2 linked regions of the Neodiprion lecontei genome follow. The protein of the gene in region 2 purifies or fractionates together with the protein of the main gene of each other region. This does not show direct contact. Links are inferred from orthologs where the notes say so. Each region holds a gene or a part of one and is shown on either strand. Other genes may lie near its edges.

Region 1 (4,272 bases), on a different chromosome or scaffold from region 2:
AATAACTCTTCGAATATTCAGTATTTAATTATTAAATTACAGATCAGAGCAAAATATCAGTCCTGGAGGCTGTGCTCAGAATACAATCAGAGTTATTCAATGGTTGTGTGGTGGACAGAGTGGACCGCAACTGGGATTGTTCTGTGGAGGACTTGGAAATGATTCTCGGGGGAAAATACTCCAAGACATGGTTCGAGCAATAGGAATTGATGCTCGGTATTTTGTTTATCTATGGCATACGACCAGACTTAAATTTATGAATTGCAGAATACATCTAACAGTCTGATTTATACTAAGGTTCTAATGCCTGATTCTTAATTTCCTCCTAGCTATGCAATTCACCCTGATCTACCAACTGGTGTTTGCGTATCAATGGTAAAGAGACCATGGCGGAGCCTCGTAGCAAATTTAGGTGCTGCTAGTGTGTATACTTTGGATAATCTGGCGCAGCATGATTTGCCGTTAAATTCACTGAAAATAATTTATATCGAAGGATTCTTTATAACGCATAGTTTTGACGTTGCTTTGGAGTTGGTGAAATTGGCTCGAGATAAGGGTATTACTGTAGCATTCAATATCAGTGGCGAATATATCTTCCAGGTTACGTTTCTATACTTGAATAATGTGAAAAATTCTATTAATTTTGTTGCTAACCTACTAACAATACATTTTATTCCATTGGAAATCTTTTCGACAAAGCCTAAATTAACTTGGAACTTGTTGTAAAGAGTTTTGTACTGATATAAAATTACAAAAAATATAGTATGTACTATTCTCAAGACATTCAAACTTCTATATTCTTTTAGGAGCATCAAGTTGCCATTTGTGATATGGTTGGTTTGTCCGGAATTGTATTTGGTAATGCCAGAGAGATGACAGCTTTGGCTCGCGTATTAAATCTCCAGTTCAACAATGTTCAGGAGATCCCATTCCTTCTAAACAATTTGAAAAGGGTCACAGTTGGTGCATCTAGTAAGAATGATGGCAACTGGTTGTCAGATGAGGGTATCATTGTGATGACTCAAGGTGGAAAATCTCCTGCCATCGTCGTTTGGGGAGAGGGTGAATCTGCACAGGTACAAATTGAGGATTTTAATCCTGAATGATAACTGAAAGAATTTGCAATAGCGATGTAATAAATTTCAATCTTAGAATAGTGAAATTACAGGTAAATGAATACAGCTTGAGTTTAATATCTAGATAACGTTTCAGGTTCTACCCGAAATTCCTGAAAACCCTGTACTGGATACAACAGGTGCGGGTGACTCATTGGTGGCTGGTTTTCTGCTCGGTGCTTTAGTTGGACGTAGTCCAAAGGCATGCTTGAAATTGGGCTGTAAAGTAGCAAGCATGATCGTTACTAGAGTTGGCGTAACCTTTCCAGAATCAATACCGGCCCATTTACTACAATAAATATACAATACAAAATTGGAATCTCTTCAAAGCTATTTGAACTTTCATCTAACAAAATAAATAGACCTAGTTAATTTAAAAATTTTTGACTTCATTTTTAAATTAATTGCCTGTGTGTCAGTCGGTAAAAGACCGTGGTCGGTAATAATTCCGTGATACATACCTCGTGCTCTAAGGGGGTATATCACTTGGTGTTTTTCTTTTATCAACGCAGTTATGAGTTTATCTCTCGTTCTGTAGATGGCGTTACAACTAAATTGGCTTTAGCTATACTAGTGGAAAGTGAGGAAACATCAAACAGAAGTGAACAGAAGTTTGGGTAGGAGCCTTAGCTGCAGGATTATTTACGTGCGTAATAAACGTTCAGCACTTATCGTCACAATGTCCTCTACGGTGAGTAAAATACAAATATTTAATAATAAAACGCAGAAAATTAATCGTACACACATTTTTGATGGTATTCTCTTACAATGAACGATCGTAACCTCAAAATTCGACAAACAACCTACGAAGGGTATGATAGTTTGTTAAAATTGTGAACTTTACTGTATTTTGATGTAGTATATCGCTTCATGGAATATTCCATAATTTTTTTATTTCAGCGTCCTGACGATCATCGTCGGAAGTGGAATAGGGAGGAATATGAACGTATAGCGCTACAAAGGCTTCAAGATGAGATTGCCGAAGAGGACTTGGGTATTCCTAAACAGCCAGCGGTTAAAAGAGAGCTGCTCAAACAGCGTGATTACAAGGTTGATCTTGAATCAAAACTTGGAAAAAGTGTTGTCATCAATAAAAATACACCATCATCGCAGACTGGAGGGTAAATTTTTCAAATCTATTTGAAAACTTTTGGCGATTTATCACAGTAAATATTTTTAGTTCTTAACATGCTTTTTCCTTTCTATAGATATTATTGCAATGTCTGCGACTGTGTCGTTAAAGACTCCATCAACTTTTTGGATCACATTAATGGCACGAAACGTAAGTTTACAAATTTTCATTTATTATGATAAAAGATCTTCTCAATTTGTCGACCTGCATTTTAATCAACATATGTCCATTATTCCATCTTATTTCCCTTCATGCGTAACTAATAATGTAACTCCCACTTACAGATCAACGTAACTTGGGAATGTCCATGAAAATTGAACGCTCATCATTGGATCAAGTTAAAGCGAGGTTCGCTCACAACAAAAAGAAATTGGAAGAAAAAAAGAAAGATTACGACCTTGAACAGAGAGTAAAGGAATTGAAAGAAGAGGTAATTATTGTTTTGAAAAAGTCGTTATCGGTCAATAACCGATTATGTTTGTTCTCAGGAAGAAAAAATCAAGGAATATCGAAAAGAGAAGAGGAAAGATCGGAAGCGGAAGTTAGACGAGGCCAATGAGGACGACGCAGGACCTTCTGATGAAATGGCTGCAGTTATGGGATTTTCTGGCTTTGGCTCAAAAAAAAAGTGAGATAAAAATAGTGAAATTGATATGTTTCATTCTCTACTTGATGCGCGTGTAATGAACATGTTCCCAAAGTGTACACGGACGACTAAGATGAGTTTGACATCTTCAAGTGCAATTGTGATAACTCAATTGTCATGTTTCTGTTGGATGCTCATAGGATGAAAATCTGCGTTTGTTTGACCAGGTAAATTACATTGATTATAAACTATAATTTCTCATGAAGTGAATTATTCGTATTCTTCTTAATTAAAAAATTAAATAACAGATATATGAATAACTGCATGTCGTATATTTTCGGAAGTATGAACTGCGAGAAAGAAGCAACATTTATCGAATGTACGTATTATAATTTTATTTGCAGTGAACATTGTCGGTAACAAATTAATTCATAAAACGTGTTTCACTAGAAAGTATACCGTACAGTGAAAATATAGAATAAATACAAATTAATGATATTTAACAAAATGAAAGTAAGTGAATAATAATTTTACATGAATAAGTTAACCTGTTATAAAGCAAATGAGGATATGAAAAAACAAAGATTAAGATTTTGATTGAATATCAAACATACTGCCACATTAGTTTTAATTGGGATGGAAAGCTTTCACCTTATAAACTTTGTCATATTCGCAAGAATAATTGGACAACATTTTTTCTGGACTTAAAGTCTTTTCTACCCATGTTTCACTGTTTATATCATGACGTCTACGTTTTCGCGGTATTTCATTGGTACCTAGATAGTCGTTGCCAGTCGTAGCATCTATTTTATCTTGATTATCTAACCATTCTCTCACAAATGCTTGTACATTTTTCGAAACACTTGAAAAACTGTTGGTGGCAGAAAATCTGCTGGTACTGTGGTCTGAAATATTTGAGTTACAGTCACTTGTTTCAGGAAATGGATCTATCGATAAATGCTGGATTTTTGGGAAACTGTTTTGAGGTATGTTAATCGTTGTAGATGCTTGACACTTTTCTTCAGATGTGTTACAAGCTCTGATCACTTCTGTGTCAGTAAAATTCTGATTTTGATCAGAAACATAGGGTCGCTGAAGATGTTGCTTTGTTAAGCTGAATGCAGCAATATCTTCAAGTATTGCAGGTTGCTTCGGCAAGTAAAAATTGCCTAGGTGTTTTTTTTCACCGACAAAATTTTTAGATTCGTACTTGGGACTGTAGGTATAGTTCAACTTAACAGGTGACCTGTTTTCTAGTTCTGATTTTTGCTCTTTTATAACCGAGTTGCAGATCCTGGATGAAAATTTCATTGTATTTTCATCTTTCTTTCGAATCAAGGAACGCTTTCTGTGTGATCGCAAATACATGGCCTGTGTGATCTCAAAACTAGAGTCCTTAACTTCCGTGAAAGGCTGACTCTCCTGTTCAAAACTCGTTG
Region 2 (8,243 bases):
AATCACAGACCATAGTAATGAAATAACGTCAAACAGAGGTCTCGGGTTATCAGAATCGGTGTTATCGTTATTTATCACTCACGGAGTGACAAATACAAACAGACCATAACGTACGTAACCATTACAAAACGAATGCATAGATATGCACTTTGTCTGGTCTTTTCAGTTTGCCACATCATTTTTCAATCGCATTTGATAGACAGTACTTGGTTCTTTTTATAAAAATTGTATATTTCAACAAATATCGGACGAGGGATAGATGAATCAAGTGATTTAGAAATTTCATAATTTGTAATAATTATTCATAATAATGAAGTTTTATACATAAATAATTGAACGGGCGAATAAAATTCATTTGACTCTCTTATTCTACGTAATAGGAATATACAATGTATAGATATGGCAGTATTTTGCTGCATCGGGTGAATGCGATTGATAATTATACAATTTTAAAACTCGAGACTGATAATTGTACGCCGAAGTTGAAACATGAAATATCAATGCTTTTCCCGAAAAGACTATCGCCGGCTATTAATTACTATCTTTTACCGTTAATTATTTTTTTTTGTCTTCGTTTCGTAACAAAAATACAGAAAGTCATGTAATGTACTAGCGCATTTATATGAGAGTGGAGGAAAGGAGATATGTATGTATAATACATATATTAAACAGTCCGACAAAATTGATAGCACCTCAAATCAGTCACCATACGAAGAACAGATCTTGTCAATGTCGGTTGATCCTGAAAAAACAAAAAAATTGGAATTAGAAACATGTGTTATGTATTTATAGGTAAACTAATCTTCCATCTACATTGCATAATAAAGTATAAAATTAATACTCACTGTTGCTCGGTCAAAGTTTTCTAAAAGTGTGCATCTCTGTTCGTCGTCTAGTCCCTCACATCCAGTTAAAAATTTTGGCAAAAATTCACCAAAAAACCAATCACAGTTGACAAGCGCAAGACTGTGAACTGCAGTCGCTATTTCGTCGGCCAAGAGATCGTGAGATCTGAAATGGGATGAATATAAGATTGTTGACCAGATTCGTAGACACACTTAAAATTCCTCTAAATGAGAAGAAAAAATTTTTTATACCTTTGAAACAAAACTGTAAAAAGTGCTGCCAAAAATCTCTCAAGTAAATTAGTTTTGAAAATAGAACGCTGGTACAGACGGCATCTAGAGTTTAGTTGTTCCAGACTCTGAAGACTCTGACGAAATATGTTCACGTCTGGTTGTAGTAACGCCTGACCAAACGCTTCCAAAATAGCGACTAACTCTTCTCTGTGCTCAACCGGCTCCGCTTCGTCGGGATTACCGAAAGTCCGTAGTACGGATGAGTTGTAAAAGTACTGCCAATGGTGCATTAAAATACTGCAAAGAAACAAGTATGGACGGATTTTACTCCCATAAAATTGAATAATTGATCGTAAAGTTGATTAATCGTTACACTTTACCTATGTAACAAGCGTAATAAAACTATGGTGGTATCCGGGTGATCGCTCAAATCACTCCTGACAACGGGCCACACATTGCTCAAGCACAAGTCTGTTATTGATGGCACGAACGCTTTGAAAGCTCTGCCAGGTGCTGACACAACCAAAATCAATATTTCCAGGAGCTGATCCAACGTTGGTCCGATCGATATATTTTCACTGTAAAATATTGATGCAGAATTTAACGAAGGTGAAAAAGGTTTGATATTTTCAAGCTGTTGGTAAGTTTTGTTCGCTAGATTTTTTAACATTTCTGCTATTTCAGACATCCCATTTACTTCACACATTTAACAATGCTTATTACCGAGTAAAGATGTGCAGCATAGCTTGCGCCGCATTTTGTGTATACTCTGGTCCCAGTTGTTGCTGAAGAACAGCAAAGGCGCTGTGGAGAAAGCTAAGCAATGTTTCACATGTTCCTGGAAATCTGATGAGATGAGGGAGAAGTTCCAGTACTCGATTCACTGTTGATTCTAGATTAGTGTGTAAGAGTTTTTTTATTGCTGTAGACGACGAACGACAATCTTCCAACAACTCTTTGAGTGATAGTACCGACGATGATACTACAATTTCAGGAGGCACCGGCTGCCCCTCTCCTCCTAGTGGATGCGAAAGAGCCGTGACCATCGTGCCTATGGGAAGTTATTTATAATTCGCGTGATGAAAAATGACCAAACGTCATCTCTATGTTAATTCTTACCCATTAGTCTTTGCCGCGCTCCGATGTCTCCAGCAGGGAGAATTATTCCGTTGACCAGGGCTCTCCTGAGGACCTTTGCGGTATCCTGATTAAGATGCGGATGGGAGCCAGCAACAACTAAATCACTAAATGCAGGTTGATCCCAGAGGTTTGGTTTGAGAATAGAAACTGTGCTCTGCATCAGATGCGCAGCTGAGTGAACAAATTTTGGCGGTAAATTTTGGGGAAACGTGTTAGGCATCAAGGCCCAAATACAGGACTGCACGCATCGTTGACTTAAACTGTCCTTCAATTTTTCTGGCCTTTCCGATATCCAATGGCACCATGCCTGGAGTGAAGCCAACATCTGTGAATTTCTGGAAGACGGAGCATGAGAAAATTTTTTTGAGCAAAACGTGCATACGAATATTTGACCAATAAGCTTACACTTCGACTAGGTCTTGAAGTATTTCAACTGGCTGAAGATTGGCCCTGTGCAGTTGGTTGTCCTTGGCAAAAGTGCAGACTTCGAAAGTTTGCGAAACTAGTTCCTCGGCCAATGAGCAATCGATCCCTGGTTGATCCCCTATTTTTCCAAAACGTTTGTCTTCAAAAGAATTGTAAACCTATTTTCTTCCTTTGTCTGAAAATCTGCTTTTCGTATTTTCCAGTATAAATTCATCACTCAACATGAACTTCAAATGATACAACTTACCAACAAAATGAACATACAATCGAGCCAGAGCCTGAGTCATGGACGCCAAGTCCCGTAAATGAATTCTTACATTAGAAGCTTCGGAATCGTTTAGGACAACTACCTGACCACTTGCTACGGCTGAACCTAACTTTGCGTAAACTGATAGACTCTCCCGCCAGGATTGATACTGGGAACATAAAAGTAGCATAAAATATATACCTAAATAGTCCCTGGGAAAAAAGATACAAGATTTAATATCGCACCAGCAGTGTGAACACCGGTATAGGAGAGATGTCTGCAACTTTGGCAAGGCATTCGATATTGCAGCGTAAAAAATGCTGCCACTCCGTCTCATCCTGCAAAAATGTTTGAAAAATTAGAGATTATCTTTTGTAAGGTGAGATAAAGCACGATTAGGTAAACCACTTACATTTTCGTCCAATGTATCAGTGTCCAGAACCTTTAGAGTGTGCGCGTTAAATTTGAAGGTGACTTTTTGTAAGACGCGTTCTGCGAGCGCGAGAGCGACTGTGGCATAGCGAGCCTGAGTGCTTTCCAGCAGTATGGACCAAACCTCCAATGATCTAGTATACCCCATCGGTGTGATGCAGCGTTGAAACGTGTGATGGTATAATACCTCGAGAAGCGCATTGACGGGAAACTTTGGGCAAGATTCAACCTTTTTGAGGTGATTTGTAACGAATAACTGCAGATACTCGGTCATTTTTTCTAAGTAGCTAAGAAAGTAAACCCCAAAAACAATAATTAGCATATGTTTAATTGGATTTAGTTCTCATTATCACTTTTAGCGCAAGTATTATATCATACATATAATAGTTACCGACGGCAAAACCGTCGTCACGAACTTTCCAGTATTTTCTTTACAACCGGCCTAACGTAGGGAGGGATAGGTGGATGAACGGACGGACGGTCAGACGGGAACGATTGGAACTTGTAAATCGGAATCACCTTTCGTCGATGGACTCTAGATGTTCTATGGATTGAAATAGTTCTATCCCTCGTTGAAATATCTGCAGCAGCAAGCTCTCTGTGGCACTCGGTGAGCTTGGGCGGTACAACAGTTCATTTATTGTCGTCAATGCTTGCACGGCTGTCTCAATCTGCCTTCCGTTCTATTCAATTCATGTTTGTTTTAATTAATTTTGCAACTCTTTTTCATGGTTTTTTGCAGAAAGAGAAACAAGACACGGTATAAAGAGTTTGCTGAATTACTTAGATGATTTAACAATCTAAAGCCCTGACAGCTGAATGGGAAGATTAAACTTTTGACAATACGGAAAAGAATCAGTTAGAAGTATTACATAAGCGATATAAGCCTCCAAAAGAAATTGGTGACTTTTAGATTATCGTTTCTAGTCAGGATTATTTAATAACTATTGTTTATTACCATTGAATCACGATACTTGGCACAGGTGAAAATAACGTTCAATAGGTTGGTAGAAAAATGATCAGTGAGAGTTATCCAGGTGAACAAATGTGCCAGAACTTCCAGGGTGATGGTGCAAATTTCCCCGCTACCAGCTGCAAGTCCTTCCACATCTAAAACAGTTCTCCCTTGGAGAGGAGCACTTTGAGCACCCGTCGGCGAAGGTGGCGGAGTTATTGTGCCGGACCTATTCTGATGTTTGGTTGTTTCGACAAGAAGTTCTAAATTCACAGAAAGGATACAAAGTCATAAATATTCTCAGCATAATAATAGAATTCTATTTACTGTTATTTCTTTCATGTTGATAAAATTATTCACCTGTAAGAACATCCAAGGCGGTTGGTACCAAACTGTTGAACAACCTAAGCAATTCCGCTTTTCGGTGAAGTGGTAAGTCCTCTCTCGGGGTTCCCAATTCCTCAGAAGCAGTTTTCAGGTAAACCAGACCCAATAGTCTTGTGTGCCTGTGACCTAATAACTACAAATAAACGTGTTTCATCGATTATACATCTAAATACAAATGTTTTTAAACGCAAGCCACAAAGAGCACCGAACTAGGTACGTGCCTGTAAAATATTTGAGAAAAAGTCGGAGTAAAAGTGAGGCCAGTCATGCCTGGCGATATCAACCACCAACTTGACCACCTTGTTCCGAACAAACGGAGTTATACCACGTTCTAGGGAGAGAGTGTACAGCGTTGATCTTACAATAGCTCTGTCTTCCCATCCCAGCACTGGCCATCGACGTCCAATTGCTGTCTGCTGGATTGGAAGCAATCAGATACCAAATATTAGCTTCTGCACATGGGAAATGCAACTGGTTTAAAGGAGAGAGAAAAAAAAAAAACTAAAAATGACTAATAGAGCAGTTTTACTCGCCTCGAGAGTAGTGAGTGCAAACATGCTGACATAGCGATTGTCAGTTGATGACAAAAAGTAAAGACACAGCCTCCAAGAGTCGATTTGTGCCGCGAATTCATGAAGGCTCTGTTCGATTGATCGTTTTTGATCATTGCTGGTTTGTGGTGAGAAAAATTCAGTCATCAGTTGCTCCAGCCTCCGAAGCACAGCTGCATCGTTGTCCTGTAAAGAAAACTATCTTCCATAACAGGTTGATCGAAGCTGAGCATGCCTAATGTCGCTTGTTCGAAGCGACCTACATGCAAAGATAACTTGGAGACTTGTGAAGCTTATGGAAGGAAAGGGAAGCAGAGGTGGGGCTTAACCAGACCCCAGATAGCTCGTGAAAAGAATAATCAGAGAAACGGTAAGTCAGATTGATATTTCCACCAATTTTTAGTACAGTGAAGAAGCAATAGTGTAACTGAAAACCCTGGCAGGATCGCAAGTATTGTTATACAGGATTGTCTCGCCCTGCGTGATATGCACGGCGGCCCTTGTCATACAGCTTTGTCGTATTCGGGTGTGACTGATTCTGAGAGATATCTTACCATTTTGATCGGTCAACAATTGACAGCTGACCTGATGACGGATGGTTATAGGAAAAAGATGTTTATTTTCGCATAGATGCGAACAGCAGTAGCACCGAATCGCCCGGGCGTACGAACCATCCGCGATAATTACAGACGTTACTCCAATCGCTCCGCACTTCGCGGTGGGACTGTGGGAGTTAAAGCCAAGGTTGGATTATCCTATGAAGTTAGCCGTGCAACGACTCGACCTCCATTCCACTCGTATTCTTTTACATGAATAATCGATTATTTCTTTTTTCTAGCCATCGACTATTTCTACCGATGAAATCGATATTTCGTATTCAAGCAGCGGCTGGCTCTTTGAGACTAATTACCTCTTCGCAGACGTGTCTGTCCGTAAGCTGCAGATCTATCACGGAGTAGTTCGATGCAACTTGGAAGATCTCGGTTTTTCGAAAACTGGCGGAGACGTTTAAGCAAGAGAAAATTAAGATCCTCAGCATTCTTTTCGAAAATAATCGAATTTCGAAACCCTCGTTACGAACCATAAACTATCGACGCTATGGAGAACTGAACGAAGACCCTCGACTCGACATCACAAAAAACTACGGATGATTTATCTTGCAGGTGTTCGCCAACTTCGCGGCCATCATTCGGCCGTCGCCAAGAGTCGTGTATTAGCCATCTTTCCTCTACAAGTTCAGCGGTGAAAATTCCGCAACGCGAGATCGTGAATCGAGTGAAGCGTTTACATTTTAAAGATACAAACTGCATACTCTACAATATACACCTACATGTAGTATACACGGCTTGGGTCCGTGCATCTGTTATTATAATCTCCATTTGTTGGAGGTTGCCTTTGAAAAACTAAAAGAAAGAATCTCAAACACCACGAAATGTCACCTCTATCGCGCTACACCGATAGTTGACGGGATAATATGTCAGATTCAAATTCATTTGAGATTAAATCAACGGGCAGCCACAGTCTTTTGGAAAATTTACGCAAATTTAGATTTCAGAAAAAACCAGTGAAAAAGATGAACACGTGTAAGTCCCATGGAAAATTTTTCATTGTAATTGCAATTGCAATCGTTATTCTTCTCAACGTTTCACTTAAATTCACTTCAAATCACCTTACCTCAGTTTTTCTTTTCCGTTTTTCTTTCAGCTTCTTACCCCCATTCCATCCTGTTTTATTACTATCCTCACCTTTAGCAATACATGTAACAAAACCAAATTCTGATGTTTGTGCCTGTAGCTGATGAAGACAGTAACCTGACGAGTTCTGGAAACCAAATACGACGTAAGCCAGTGAACAGGATCGAAGACAGTGACAGCGATGTGGGAAGCCCGACTAAGCTGCAAGGTTCGATGCCACACGTTGACAATAAACCAGAAACCAAAGAAAGGGAAGAAAAATTCAAGTACCTGAGTACATTGTATCCTCGCCTCGATGCTCCGGTTTGTTCCATGTCTCAATGCCAAATTTCATGTCAAATTCAAGCCAATGCCCAAGTTGGCGCATTTTTAATTTCAGATACTTAATTCTATGTTTCTTTCTGTTTGTACAGCGAATTCTCGAAGCGCTAAATAACTCCAACTGGCAGACGGATGAAGCAGAGAGACAGCTTAATAGCCAGCGGAAGAGACTTGGCAATAAACCGTTGTCGTCTAGTAAGAAAAAAAGGAGAAAAGTTGATTACGACGAGGATGTTGATAATGACTCAGATGAAAAGAACTACAAGAATAGGGTATTCGATAGGTGAGTTTTGATGGCTTCAAACTTTTTCAGAGAAACATGCTTGAATGCTGATTTTTGAAGTATGTATTTAATCATTGTACTGTTCTTTCCATTATACTTAAGTGATATAAAGGAGTTAATTTTATTTGTAACAATATGTTATTATCTTTTTGTAATGTAGGTATATGTGAAACTAAATGAGTACAGGATTCTCTAAAAATTAAATGAGATCAAGCTTTTACCATTCACTAGCATAGTCATATGCATAAGATTGTTTCTGGTACAGCAGTAACTGTAATAGGTATAAATGATTATTAATTTTATGTTGCTTTGGGTCTGTTACAATTCTACAGCATACATTATTCAGCTATCTAATTTATGCAATAATTTTAATCGTTTTGAGAGTTATTCTTGTGTCTGCCTTTAGTGGTAGTTCTGAAAATATTATGAGTATTGTAGATTGGCTATATTTTGCTAAATCTAACGCATAGAAACATATTTTATACTCTTCACACAACGGCGGTTTATTTTCTTTTAAAATTCTTGAAGGAAATATTGCGGTTCTTTGTATTGGCTTGGAAAACTTTTTATTTGTCCAATCCAGTTATATTTTTGTAGTATGTTGTTGTGACAAGTTATTGCATTCAGCTTTAGCAAGCATATTTTTGAGTCTTATGCATTTTGCTTTTCTTAAGTCTTACAATTAATTAGGAAATTCAGAACCTGCTTACAAATTGTCACTAAAATGG

Evidence for each region.
Region 1: the proteins of exportin-6-A (region 2) and zinc finger matrin-type protein 2 purify together in Homo sapiens (co-immunoprecipitation; 3 studies listed by BioGRID and IntAct, with this or other methods). This does not show direct contact. The link is inferred for Neodiprion lecontei from reciprocal best matches to the Homo sapiens genes XPO6 and ZMAT2.

Annotation. Positions count from the first base shown.
Region 1 is NC_060265.1:7,534,869-7,539,140, forward strand, and holds zinc finger matrin-type protein 2, read left to right. Parts: upstream 1-1,666; 5' UTR 1,667-1,794; coding exon 1,795-1,806; intron 1,807-2,015; coding exon 2,016-2,236; intron 2,237-2,323; coding exon 2,324-2,397; intron 2,398-2,531; coding exon 2,532-2,677; intron 2,678-2,735; coding exon 2,736-2,879; 3' UTR 2,880-3,525; downstream 3,526-4,272. Other genes in the region: adenosine kinase, read left to right, coding at 43-216, 330-600, 807-1,076, 1,201-1,413. UniProt on the Homo sapiens protein: Involved in pre-mRNA splicing as a component of the spliceosome.
Region 2 is NC_060264.1:2,806,201-2,814,443, forward strand, and holds exportin-6-A, read right to left. Parts: upstream 6,007-8,243; 5' UTR 5,775-6,006; coding exon 5,772-5,774; intron 5,404-5,771; coding exon 5,200-5,403; intron 5,083-5,199; coding exon 4,888-5,082; intron 4,800-4,887; coding exon 4,640-4,799; intron 4,543-4,639; coding exon 4,283-4,542; intron 4,008-4,282; coding exon 3,844-4,007; intron 3,612-3,843; coding exon 3,305-3,611; intron 3,231-3,304; coding exon 3,138-3,230; intron 3,062-3,137; coding exon 2,893-3,061; intron 2,785-2,892; coding exon 2,625-2,784; intron 2,555-2,624; coding exon 2,199-2,554; intron 2,131-2,198; coding exon 1,803-2,130; intron 1,658-1,802; coding exon 1,460-1,657; intron 1,377-1,459; coding exon 1,098-1,376; intron 1,012-1,097; coding exon 846-1,011; intron 743-845; coding exon 665-742; 3' UTR 278-664; downstream 1-277. Other genes in the region: SWI/SNF-related matrix-associated actin-dependent regulator of chromatin subfamily A containing DEAD/H box 1 homolog, read left to right, coding at 6,692-6,800, 7,012-7,214, 7,325-7,515. UniProt on the Homo sapiens protein: Mediates the nuclear export of actin and profilin-actin complexes in somatic cells.